2 linked regions of the Caenorhabditis elegans genome follow. The protein of the gene in region 1 purifies or fractionates together with the protein of each later gene. This does not show direct contact. Each region holds a gene or a part of one and is shown on either strand. Other genes may lie near its edges.

The links. Proteins that work in one complex are often made in the same cells at the same time.
Region 2: the proteins of ciao-2B (region 1) and Y57G11C.36 fractionate together in Caenorhabditis elegans (co-fractionation; one large-scale study listed by BioGRID). This does not show direct contact.

The regions. Positions count from the first base shown.
Region 1 is NC_003281.10:13,436,340-13,441,551, reverse strand, and holds ciao-2B (MIP18 family protein F45G2.10), read left to right. Parts: upstream 1-2,007; 5' UTR 2,008-2,026; coding exon 2,027-2,109; intron 2,110-2,880; coding exon 2,881-3,037; intron 3,038-3,473; coding exon 3,474-3,641; intron 3,642-4,340; coding exon 4,341-4,415; 3' UTR 4,416-4,498; downstream 4,499-5,212. Other genes in the region: cua-1 (P-type Cu(+) transporter), read left to right, coding at 181-645, 1,258-1,631; F45G2.9 (rRNA methyltransferase 2, mitochondrial), read left to right, coding at 4,640-4,677, 4,732-4,948.
Region 2 is NC_003282.8:14,770,452-14,775,829, reverse strand, and holds Y57G11C.36 (K Homology domain-containing protein), read left to right. Parts: upstream 1-2,075; 5' UTR 2,076-2,718; intron 2,719-2,774; 5' UTR 2,775-2,793; coding exon 2,794-3,405; intron 3,406-3,461; coding exon 3,462-3,585; intron 3,586-3,750; coding exon 3,751-3,886; intron 3,887-3,935; coding exon 3,936-4,206; 3' UTR 4,207-4,411; downstream 4,412-5,378. Other genes in the region: Y57G11C.51 (DUF3362 domain-containing protein), read left to right, coding at 1,537-1,797, 1,854-2,075; degl-1 (DEgenerin Like), read left to right, coding at 4,444-4,586, 4,642-4,720, 4,773-4,889, 4,955-5,053, 5,101-5,130; Y57G11C.43 (Protein KTI12 homolog), read right to left, coding at 5,193-5,378.

The DNA.
Region 1 (5,212 bases):
TCATTTTTTCCAAAGAAAAACCAAAAAAAAACTAGTATATTTTTCTTGGTCTTGGATCTTGCTCTTGGATCTTGCTTTAAAAATTCTTTTACTCCACTGAAAAAATCCTTTTTTTTTAATGAAAAAAGTCAATTTCGTCTGTCAAAACAGCTGTAGTTATTGACAAATTAACTATTTCAGCGGAAGTGGTTGCTGTAATTTCAATTGCTGATCAAGTTAAAAAAGAAGCATCACTTGCAATCTATACTCTACGTGAAATGGGTCTTCGTGTCGTACTTCTCACAGGAGATAACTCGAAAACTGCAGAATCAACTGCGAAACAAGTCGGAATTGATGAAGTATTCGCAGAAGTTCTTCCAAATCAAAAGCAACAAAAGATTAAGCAATTGAAAGGATACAAAAACAAAGTTGCAATGGTTGGAGACGGTGTCAACGACTCGCCGGCTCTCGCAGAAGCCAATGTTGGTATCGCAATTGCTGCAGGAAGTGACGTGGCAATTGAGTCAGCTGGAATCGTACTTGTTAGAAATGATCTTGTGGATGTTGTTGGAGCAATTAAGCTATCGAAAATGACGACGAGAAGGATTCGATTGAACTTTTTGTTTGCAATCATTTATAATGCGATTGGAATTCCGATTGCTGCAGGTGAATTTTAAAAAAGTTATTTCGAACAAAAAAACCGATTTCAAATGGTAGAATAAAAAGTGTTAAAAATGTCGAAAAATTTTCAATTTTCCGAAAAACGAAAAAATTGAAAAAAAATGTCTAGAACATTTTTTTAATTTGAAATTTTAAATATCAATTTTTTTTGAAGAGAAAAACTTTAAAAATTATATTTTCTCTGAAAAAAGAAAATTGGTCAAAATTTGTAGCTATTTTTCGAAAACCCGGGTAATTTTTTTTCGAACAAAAAAAATCAAAATTTTTCGACTTTTCGAATACCCGGAAAACGAAAAATCGTCTAGAAAATTTTTAAACAATTCAAAATTTTATCAAATTCGGTTTATCTTGTTGAGAAGTACTTAAGAAAAAAAATTTCTGAAAAAAAAGAAAAATAGCTTAAGTTTGAAGCTATTTTTCGAGAAAAAAACGGAAATTTTCTACTTTTGTCTGGAAAATTTGAAAAATTCAAAATTTAATGAAATTTTCGTTGATTTTCGTTGAGAAAAAAAAAGAAGAAAATATTGTTTTTCTAGAAAACGCTATTTTTCCAATAACAAAAAACAATCCACTTTTAATAATTTTCCAAATTTCCAGGTGTATTCCGCCCATTTGGCTTCATGCTTCAACCATGGATGGCTGCAGCTGCAATGGCTCTTTCCAGTGTCTCCGTGGTTTCTTCTTCACTTTTACTCAAAAACTTCCGAAAACCAACGATTGCAAATCTCTATACGACGAGCTTCAAACGACATCAGAAGTTCCTCGAATCGGGCTCTTTCCAAGTTCAAGTGCATCGAGGCCTAGACGATTCGGCTGTTTTTCGAGGTGCTGCTTCTTCAAAATTATCAATATTAAGCTCAAAAGTTGGCTCACTGCTCGGCTCAACAACAAGTATCGTGAGCTCTGGGAGCTCGAAAAAGCAACGACTTTTGGATAATGTTGGATCAGATTTAGAGGATCTCATTGTGTAGTTTTTTTGATTTTTTATCCAATTTTTTGTACATTTTGCGTGCTTCGTTTCGTCATCTCACTCTCATCACACACATACCGACCAAATTCCATTTTTTACGCGGTTTTATTGTTTTAATTTGTGATTTTTTGCCTTATTTTCTTGTATTTTCCAAATTTTGAATCGAATTTAATAAACATTTTTTAAAAATTTAACTATAAATTTTTGATTTTAAATCTCAAAGTATTTTTCAAATTTTTATATCTCTGGAAATTATTGCAACAAAAAATTATTCAAATTTAAATTTTCGCCAAAAACTACATATGTATTGTTTTTTCTTCCACGGCCACTAGGCCACCGATATTTTTTCGTCATTTTCCATTTCCAGCTTAATTTCCAGGCTTATATCACATAAAAATGGGCCAAGAACGTCTCGACAATGCAAATCCAACACTTTTCGACTCAAAACCACGTCATCGACCTGTTACTGGCACTGAAAGGTTGGTTTTTGGAGGGTTTTAACGCAAAAATCAAGTTTTAATCGTTAAAAGTTTACTTTGAATTCAAAAAGAGCATATTTTCACGGTTAAGTTTTTATATAAATAAAGTACAGAATTTTTAAAAAATTCCGCAAAAAAACAGCGAATTAATAAATTGAAAATTCGAATTTTCAGCCATTTTTCGTATTTTTTCAAATGAAAATTTATAGTTTGAAACGTAATTACTTCGATTATTAAATTGAAAACACAGAAAAATCAAGAAAAACGCTTTTTACCTGTTATTTAAACGAAAAACATAATAAATTTAACAAAAACACGATAAAATACGAAAAATCGCATGAAATCCAAACATTTAAATAAAAAATTCCAGTAAAATGGAAGAGGAGATGAATTTTTGACACTTTGAAGCTCCAGAACATCTGTGTCAAAAGTGTCGGTTTTTAGATTTTCGAAAAAATAAAATCGAAAAACGAAAATTTTCCGTTTTTTGATTTTTAGATTTTTCGATTTTCCAATATTTCGAATTTTTTTTCGATTTTTCTAAAATTAGCTAAAAATTCTGATAATTGTTCTTCTGTTTAGAAGACGTTTTTATTTAAACAAAATTAAATTTAAAAAAAAAAAGAATTTTCTGCTGAGTTTTTTTTAAGTTTTTGATTTTCCTTGAAAAAATAGAAAACATCGAAAAATGAATTTTTTGTGTTGTTTCGCTTGTAAAAATTGGCTCTCAATTCCACTACATTATTTTTAATTCAAAAAATATGATTCCAGAGATGAAAGCGTCGAAGATCCAATCGATTCGTGGGAGATTTTCGATCTGATCAGAGATATCAACGATCCAGAGCATCCATATACTCTCGAGCAGTTAAATGTGGTTCAAGAGGAGCTTATCAAAGTGTTTATCGACGAAGAAGAGACCTTTGTGAAGGTAACTTTAATTTTAAAATAACTTTAAAATTTTTTACAATTTTTTACAAAACATTTCCAAGAAGCTTCCAATCTTTGAACAGAAATTCTACAGCATTGATTGGAAAAAAGTGAAAAAAATGCGCTTGAAAAAATATTAAAAATTGGTCTCAGCAATGCAGGGCTCTCCTGATATATTTAATCAAAATATACTGATTTAATTGATAAAAAAAGTTGATTTATCTTGCTTTTATTTAAATTGGAACAATTGATTTTTCCAAATATCAGACAATTCTTGAGCGTTTCCCAATTGTTCCAACTGAAATAAACTTTTTTCAGGTAAAACAAATATTTTTTTTCTACCTTCTATCACTAAATTTTAATGAAAAATATTGCGAGAAAATTATTGATTGGTAATTTAAAATTAATTTTTTTTTAAATTTGAAAAAAAATTTCAGGTGAATTTCACACCAACCATTCCACACTGCAGTATGGCAACACTAATCGGTTTGGCGATTCGAGTGAAACTTTTGAGATCTTTGCATCCGAAAGTTAAAGTTAGCGTTTCAATCACTCCAGGATCACATTCTACGGAAGAATCAATTAACAGGCAGTTGGCCGACAAGGTAAGTTTTTAATTTTTGATGAAAATAGTAAAATCTATATAATTTAAAAACCATTTATTTTTGCAAAAAAATCGAAAAAAAACTCTAAAATTGACTTTTCTGCTGAAAAACGCCTGTAAAATTGGCAAAAAACTGTTTCGAACTATAGTAATATGTAAAATGAGGAAAAATCAATAGTAAATAACGACTTTAAAAATTTTTAAAAACTATGTAATTAGCTTTTTTTTTTGCTAGAAAATGTCTAAAAAATTTGAAAAAAAAGTTTAAATCATAATTTGCCAAAAAACGTAATTTCAAAACTCGGGCATTAATTTGCGCAAAAATTTAAAAAAATCACTAAAACTTTAAAATTCGCCAAAATTCGATAATTCAACATTTCTTCTTAATATTTTATGCTGAAAACCGTCTGAAAACATTAATTTGAATTTTTTGATTGCAAAATGGCAAAAAAATCATTTTAAAAATTATTTAATTTTTTTAATGGTTTATTTGGAGATTTCGGTCTATTTTTATACTTTGCATTTTTTATTTTCGAAATTTTTTGAAATTAAATTTTAAAGTATAGAAAATAAGACCGAAGTTTCCGAATAAACCAATAAAAAAATTCAAAAAAAATTTAAAACATTGTATTTTTTAGTTTAGAAGCAAGCCCCTCAAAAAGTTAATTTTTAAAACATAAATTCAAAATGTCTCATTTAGGAACGAGTAGCTGCTGCAATGGAAAATCAAGGACTAATGCACGCTGTTAACGAATGCCTCAGAGTTCCAGAATAACCAAAAAAAGATCCAGATTAAAGTTTTTGTGATATTAAAAGTTGCCTATCTATCAGGTTTCGAATAAAAACGTGTTTAAAATTATTTAGTTTTTTTGTCGAAATTTTCATTTTCATAGGTTAGATTTAAAAATCACCAGAAAAGTATCTAGATTCAGGGAATTTATTTTTTTGTTGAAAAATTAGTGATTAAGAATTCGAAAAAAAATGTTCAAAAGTGTCAGGATGTTCTCAACGAAAAAATCACAAGGAAATTTGCACAAGTGAGTTTTCTTCCCCCATCAAATATAAATTTATTTTTCAAATTTAAATTTCAGATATATTCAACGGCAATCAACAGACGAATTTGCGGTTAAAGCTCGTGAGCACAATTACCGAGCACGGAGCGCCTTCAAATTAATCGAAATTAATGAGAAATTCAAATTTCTGAAACCGGAGAGTACTGTAATCGATATTGGATGTGCACCTGGCTCATGGCTTCAAGTAGTTGTGCAGAAGTGTCCAAATGGATATGCATCGGGTGTAGATTTACAAGTAAGTTATTAAAATTAGTTTTAGAAAAAAAAACGTTGTGCCCCCAAAAGTTGGGTCTCGTTAGGTATTTGACTGCAAAATCGGAAATAAAAAAAGTTTTTTCTTGTTTTTTGCCGATTTCGCTAGTTTTCAAGAATTTTAAGTAGTTTGTTTAAAAGTGAATAATTTTTTTTTCATTTGTCACCCATTTTGGCTTACAATTATTAAAATAAAAGAACAAATACACGACGGAAAATGCTTGAAAAGTAATTTAAAATTTTTGAA
Region 2 (5,378 bases), on another chromosome or scaffold:
AACTTTGTAGTTGATTGTTTTTCACCAAAAAAATTGCTGGTCGAGATAAAGTTGTGTAAAGTTCGGCACCTTCATGCTTGTATTTTCTTCTTCTTTTTCTATTCATATCTCATCCAACCAATTTTTTGATAAAAAACGATGAACTGCAAAATTGTACTTTATATTAAGATAAACAACTTTGTAGTTGATCACTTTGTCATAAAAAATTATTACACGGAGATATCAGCATCCGAAGTGAGTGCGTTTTTTGAATTTTGAGGTTCTACTATACATCAGGTTTTAGTCTGAATTCGTGTTCAGAACATCTAAACTAGATAAACAACAAACATTGCATTTTTCTATAACATCTGATCAAATTTTGAAAAGTTTTCAAAAAAAGTTTTCAAAAAAAAATTTAGAAAATTTTTGTAAGGGGTACCCTTTGGATTTTTTTTTTCATAAATCGAAAAAAAAAACATTGAAACCTAAAAAACCAAATGTTTTTGACACTATCGCCAACAACATTCTAGTTGGACACATTTTATTGCAAAATCTCATTGCCAACTATCCTATGCTGAAACCTTTGAAATATGCTTATGCTCACGTTTTGAATATGCTTATGCTGATGTGCGCTTATGCTGACAAGAGCTCTCACGAGAATTTCGTGATCCAATAAACACATTGAAAGCTTATATCAGGACACTTGACGACGTAAAAGAAAACCGAACCTATCCAGATTTTTTTCTCGATTGGAAGATATCTAGTACTTGAAAATGTGTTCATAAAGATTGGAACTACTACAGAATAAGTCATTAAGTTATTTTCTGTTCCTATTGTTCAGTTTCTACAAGAAATCTATTCCACATTGACTTTTGTTGTGAATTTGAACCTTCCGTTGGCCTAAAATACTTCTGTAGAGCTACTTTTTTCGAGAGTATTCTTAAGTCTTCTACAGATTCAACTTGTTGGAAAATCGGGAACTTCTCTGATTCCTCGAAAATACTGTTGTTTAAAAAAAAATTTTGGCCTAAATTTTTTTTCCTCAAAAACACCTTCATTCTGGTATTTTCTAGGAGCATATGTCATCTGTATTGTTTAATAATTTTTTGCTTCAAAAGCTCTGTTTTTGTGCTTAAAACTCTCATTTTTGTCGATTTCCTAGTTTAAAACATGGAAATTAAAAACATTTCGGAGTACGGTACACATCGGTGTTTGCGTACCTTTGCGTATTGTGCATTTAATTCGACGACGTCCCCACACCTCGACAGTTAGACATTCTGTCTTTTATTCTGGGCGACTGGTGGTTGCCCTCCCTTGATTTTTCCTGCTATATTTTTGGATTCAAATTGTTTTTCCTAACAACGGTAAGTGTTTTGAATAAATATTTGATCACGATTTTTCCGAGAAATGTGGCAAAATAACGTCACAAACTTTATTTAAATACATGTTTTTAAATTTATAAGGCAACGAGCATCTTGAAATACACTTTGATTTTACGAACTACTTGAAAAGCCCCGGTAATTGTGATTTCTCTTCATTGTCTTCTTCCAGAACAAGATGCGATCCCAACCAGCCCAGCTTTACGATCTGTCAAAGAGAGCCATCGCCGCAAAGGAATCGTACAAGAAGATGTCTCCGAGCAAGAAAAAGGAGGAAAATGCGAAAAGCAACGCCAACAGAGCTTCGAGGAAAGGAAGTGGGCCGAAGAAGGCCAAGCCTTCTGATGCTGTGAAAAGGGCGAAGGAAGCCGAAAAACGAGAGAAGAAGAGGTTGAGCGACAAGAAACGATGGGAGGAATTAAATGATGCAGCGAAGGAGGTATGTTATAAACGTATTCAATTTATGATTGGAACCTAATTGCTTCAATTATTCAGGTCGTTCGAGCTAATGCACGAGAAGCGTCAGCAAGACGCAGGGCTGGTCGCGATGCAGGCCTGTCAGCGAATCCGAAACGCTCGCCACGATGGTCTCCGCAACCGGACCCTTCCACGCCATCATCCTCCACATCATCCTCCACATCATCCTCGCCGTCGTCGTCATCCACTCCACTTACCAGCACACAGAGACGCTCGCCACGATTCCACGCCGCCCCTTGATTGATTGATTGATCTTTCCCCCAACTAACATTTCATACTTACCCCGCTATCATGTAAAATATTTATTTCGCATCCCTCCCCCTTGCCATTAATCTTATAAAACAGGTGCCCCCTCTTGCAATTTACCATGTAATTATGAATAAATCATCACTGTCTCTTCGAATGGAAATTTGTTATAGAGCGCACTTGCATTTTTGCTATTTTCTGCGATTTTTTTCTGTTGAAAGAACATTCAGTTCAGATTTATTTTTATTTTTTGCGTTCTCGGCTTACGCATCAGCGAAAGTTTATGCACGAGTTGCGAAATTCTATGCAGGTGGTGCAGAATTCTATGCAAAAGGTGCGCAAGTCTATTCAGGAGTTTCATTTTATGGAGGATTTTTAACTTCACGTAGGAATTTTCACTTCATTTTCAATTTACGCCGAAGTTTCACTTCACACACTGAGAAAAAAGAACGACAGCTCACGTGAAGTGAAAAATATTTTTAATATTAAATATATTTTTTAATAAATGAGAGCAAAAGTTCACGCAGCGGCTGATGTGGTGTTTCCACGTGAGCTTGCCACGTCATCCATCCGCCCGTCTTTGATCCGATGACCTTCCCGGAAAAGTTCAGTTTTAAAACGTTTTTCGTTCAGTCGTGTGAGTTTTTTTTCTATTTTTTTTTGTTAATTTTTAATGTTTTTTTTTAATTTCAGAGTCATCTTCTGCCTGACAATGAGTTCTTCTGCCGATTCGCTTACGGACGGCATTCAACTTCTCCGCCTCGCCGAAAAGCATCAACACTCGTCTCTTCTGACTCCGCCACCGTCGGATGACTCTCAAAAGTCGCTGAAATCCACTTCAAACCACTCGGATCAGGAGATGTCGAAGAATCTGCACGATGTCGAAGCCTACATCGATGCGCTGAAAGGCGAGAAGCATCAGCTGGCTCAATACTCTAGCGGCGGCTTCAACCATGTCTTCAACTTGATCGACAAGGAGATTCAGAAAGTCGGAGGAAACGATGCTCATGATGGTGGCTCACAAATGAGTGGCGATGGTTCGATGCTCACGGAGACTATCATGGTTCCAGTAGAAAAGTTTCCCGATTACAACTTCGTTGGAAGACTTCTTGGACCACGTGGAACAACTGCAAAGCAGCTCGAAGTGACAACTGGTTGCCGCATCACAATCCTCGGAAGAACCAAGAGAGATGGATCAAGCTCGAATCCCGATGTCACTACAGGTCCATTGAGAGTGCAAATTTCTGTTCCAGCAGATATGCCGCAAGCTGCAAAACTCTTGAAAGGTGGCGTCGGTCACATTCAAGCAATTCTTGATGTACCAGTGAGTGAAAAATAATAAAAATATCGCTTTTATCCACCAATAATAAAAGTTTTCAGACTGACGGTAACGACGAGCTGAAGCGTCAACAATTGCTCATTCTTGCCAATATGAATGGTACCTACCAACCTCGCGGCTCAGCCACATCTCCAGGATCCGGCGACTATGGGCATCCGTTCCAGAGTTAGTATTTTTAAAATTCTCCTATATATATATAATTTTCCTGTATCTACCTGTATCCTTCATGTGTCTATCAATCACCCATTTCGTGTTCTATAATAATTATGATAATACTTTTTCGAAAATTCCCAAATAAAAACTTAAAAATATACATTACGTTTGTTACAGACCTGCTTCCATACGGTTATCGTCTGCCAGGCAACAGCCCAAGCCACCATGAGTCAAAGAACGACTGTTACAATCCAAAGTGTGCGATGATGAGAAGCTTTATTGAGCATTCCAACAACAATCATAGCTCAATGCAGTTAGTTGTAAAACTGAGAAAATATATTTAAAATCTAATTTAATTTCAGAAAAATGGATGATGTATTCCATATGATGCACATGTACGAGCTCATGAACCGCGTCCGTATCGCCAATTCCCATCTTTTCGGACGTCCAGAAGACATCAGCAAGGCCCAGGAAATTGGAAATCGCATGTGCTCATCGATCAATGCTCCACGTGCTCGATCCTCCAACTCCACCACCACCACAACCACCACTCTGCCACCTCGTCGTTTCTTCAACACGAAACCACGTCCATCATACCAAGCTAATAACGAATCCAACAACGCTAACAAGTAACCAGATGTAATTATAATTACCTACACCATCCCCTTATTCCTGTAATCATTTCTTGTTAAATTATTTATGCTCCATTCCCCCGTTTGATTGTTCATATTTCTTTCCGAAATCCGAGCACTTCTCCATTTTCTTCATCTAAAATTTAAAAAAGTAGGCTTGAAGCCAGTGTTTGTTAGAATAAAAGAGCACAAGCTCAGTGTTTTGTAAATTTTCTTCTCAATTTTTGTTTCACATCTTATGTCTGAAGTTCGGCAGCGAAAAAGTTCGATTATCGACAGTGATTTGGACTTTTCCGATTCAGATGGAGAATTCAAAGAAATCATTAAAGACATTGAAAATGATCAATGGAAAGATAAACCAGTCGATGAAACGAGATGGTCGTAAGATAAAAAAAACTCTAAATTTCTAGCTTTTTCCATAGATTTTCGGATTCAGAAAAACAAAAAGTGCTGTACACGAGTGGGGATTGTCTTGTTCGTGGCATGGAATCCCTCACATGGCTCAATCTCTTTCAGTAAGTAATAGGTTCAAATATTTCTTCAAATTCAGAGATTCCATGATTCCAGTGGCCAACGATCCTTCTCTGGACAACCTTGCTCATTATCAGCGCCGTTTTGTTCGTCTACCTTATCACCGTCACCGTTCGCCAATACTTTTCGTTTCAAAAATTGGTGAATCTGAATGTAAATTTCTTAAATCGCTTTTTTTTTTAAATCTTTATTATTTTATTGAAGCCAAAGAATTGTAGATTGGAATGGTAGAGTCGAACTTCCCATCAATCACATTCTGTAATACAAATCCATATAAATTGAGTGCAGTTCGAGCGATTCCTGAGCTGGAAGCCTTGGTAATTAAATTTACAAAATTTAAAATGAATCGGAATTTTGTTTTCAGCTCACCGTCTACTCACAAGCCTATACATGATAAAACTTTGGATTTTTATTTTTCTGCATTTTCAAATAAAGTCATAACAAACAACAAAACAATCATCTCAAATTGCAATTCAAAAAATCGACAAATCCCGTGATAATCTTCTCCTTATCAGTTGTCGGATCCTTCTTCGACATGTTCACAAATTGGTGTCGCAGTCGATTCAGCTCAGGCAGCGTTCTCAATTTCATAAACTTTATCGTATTGGCTCCGTCTGTTGCTCCAGGAATCGTCAGGTTTTG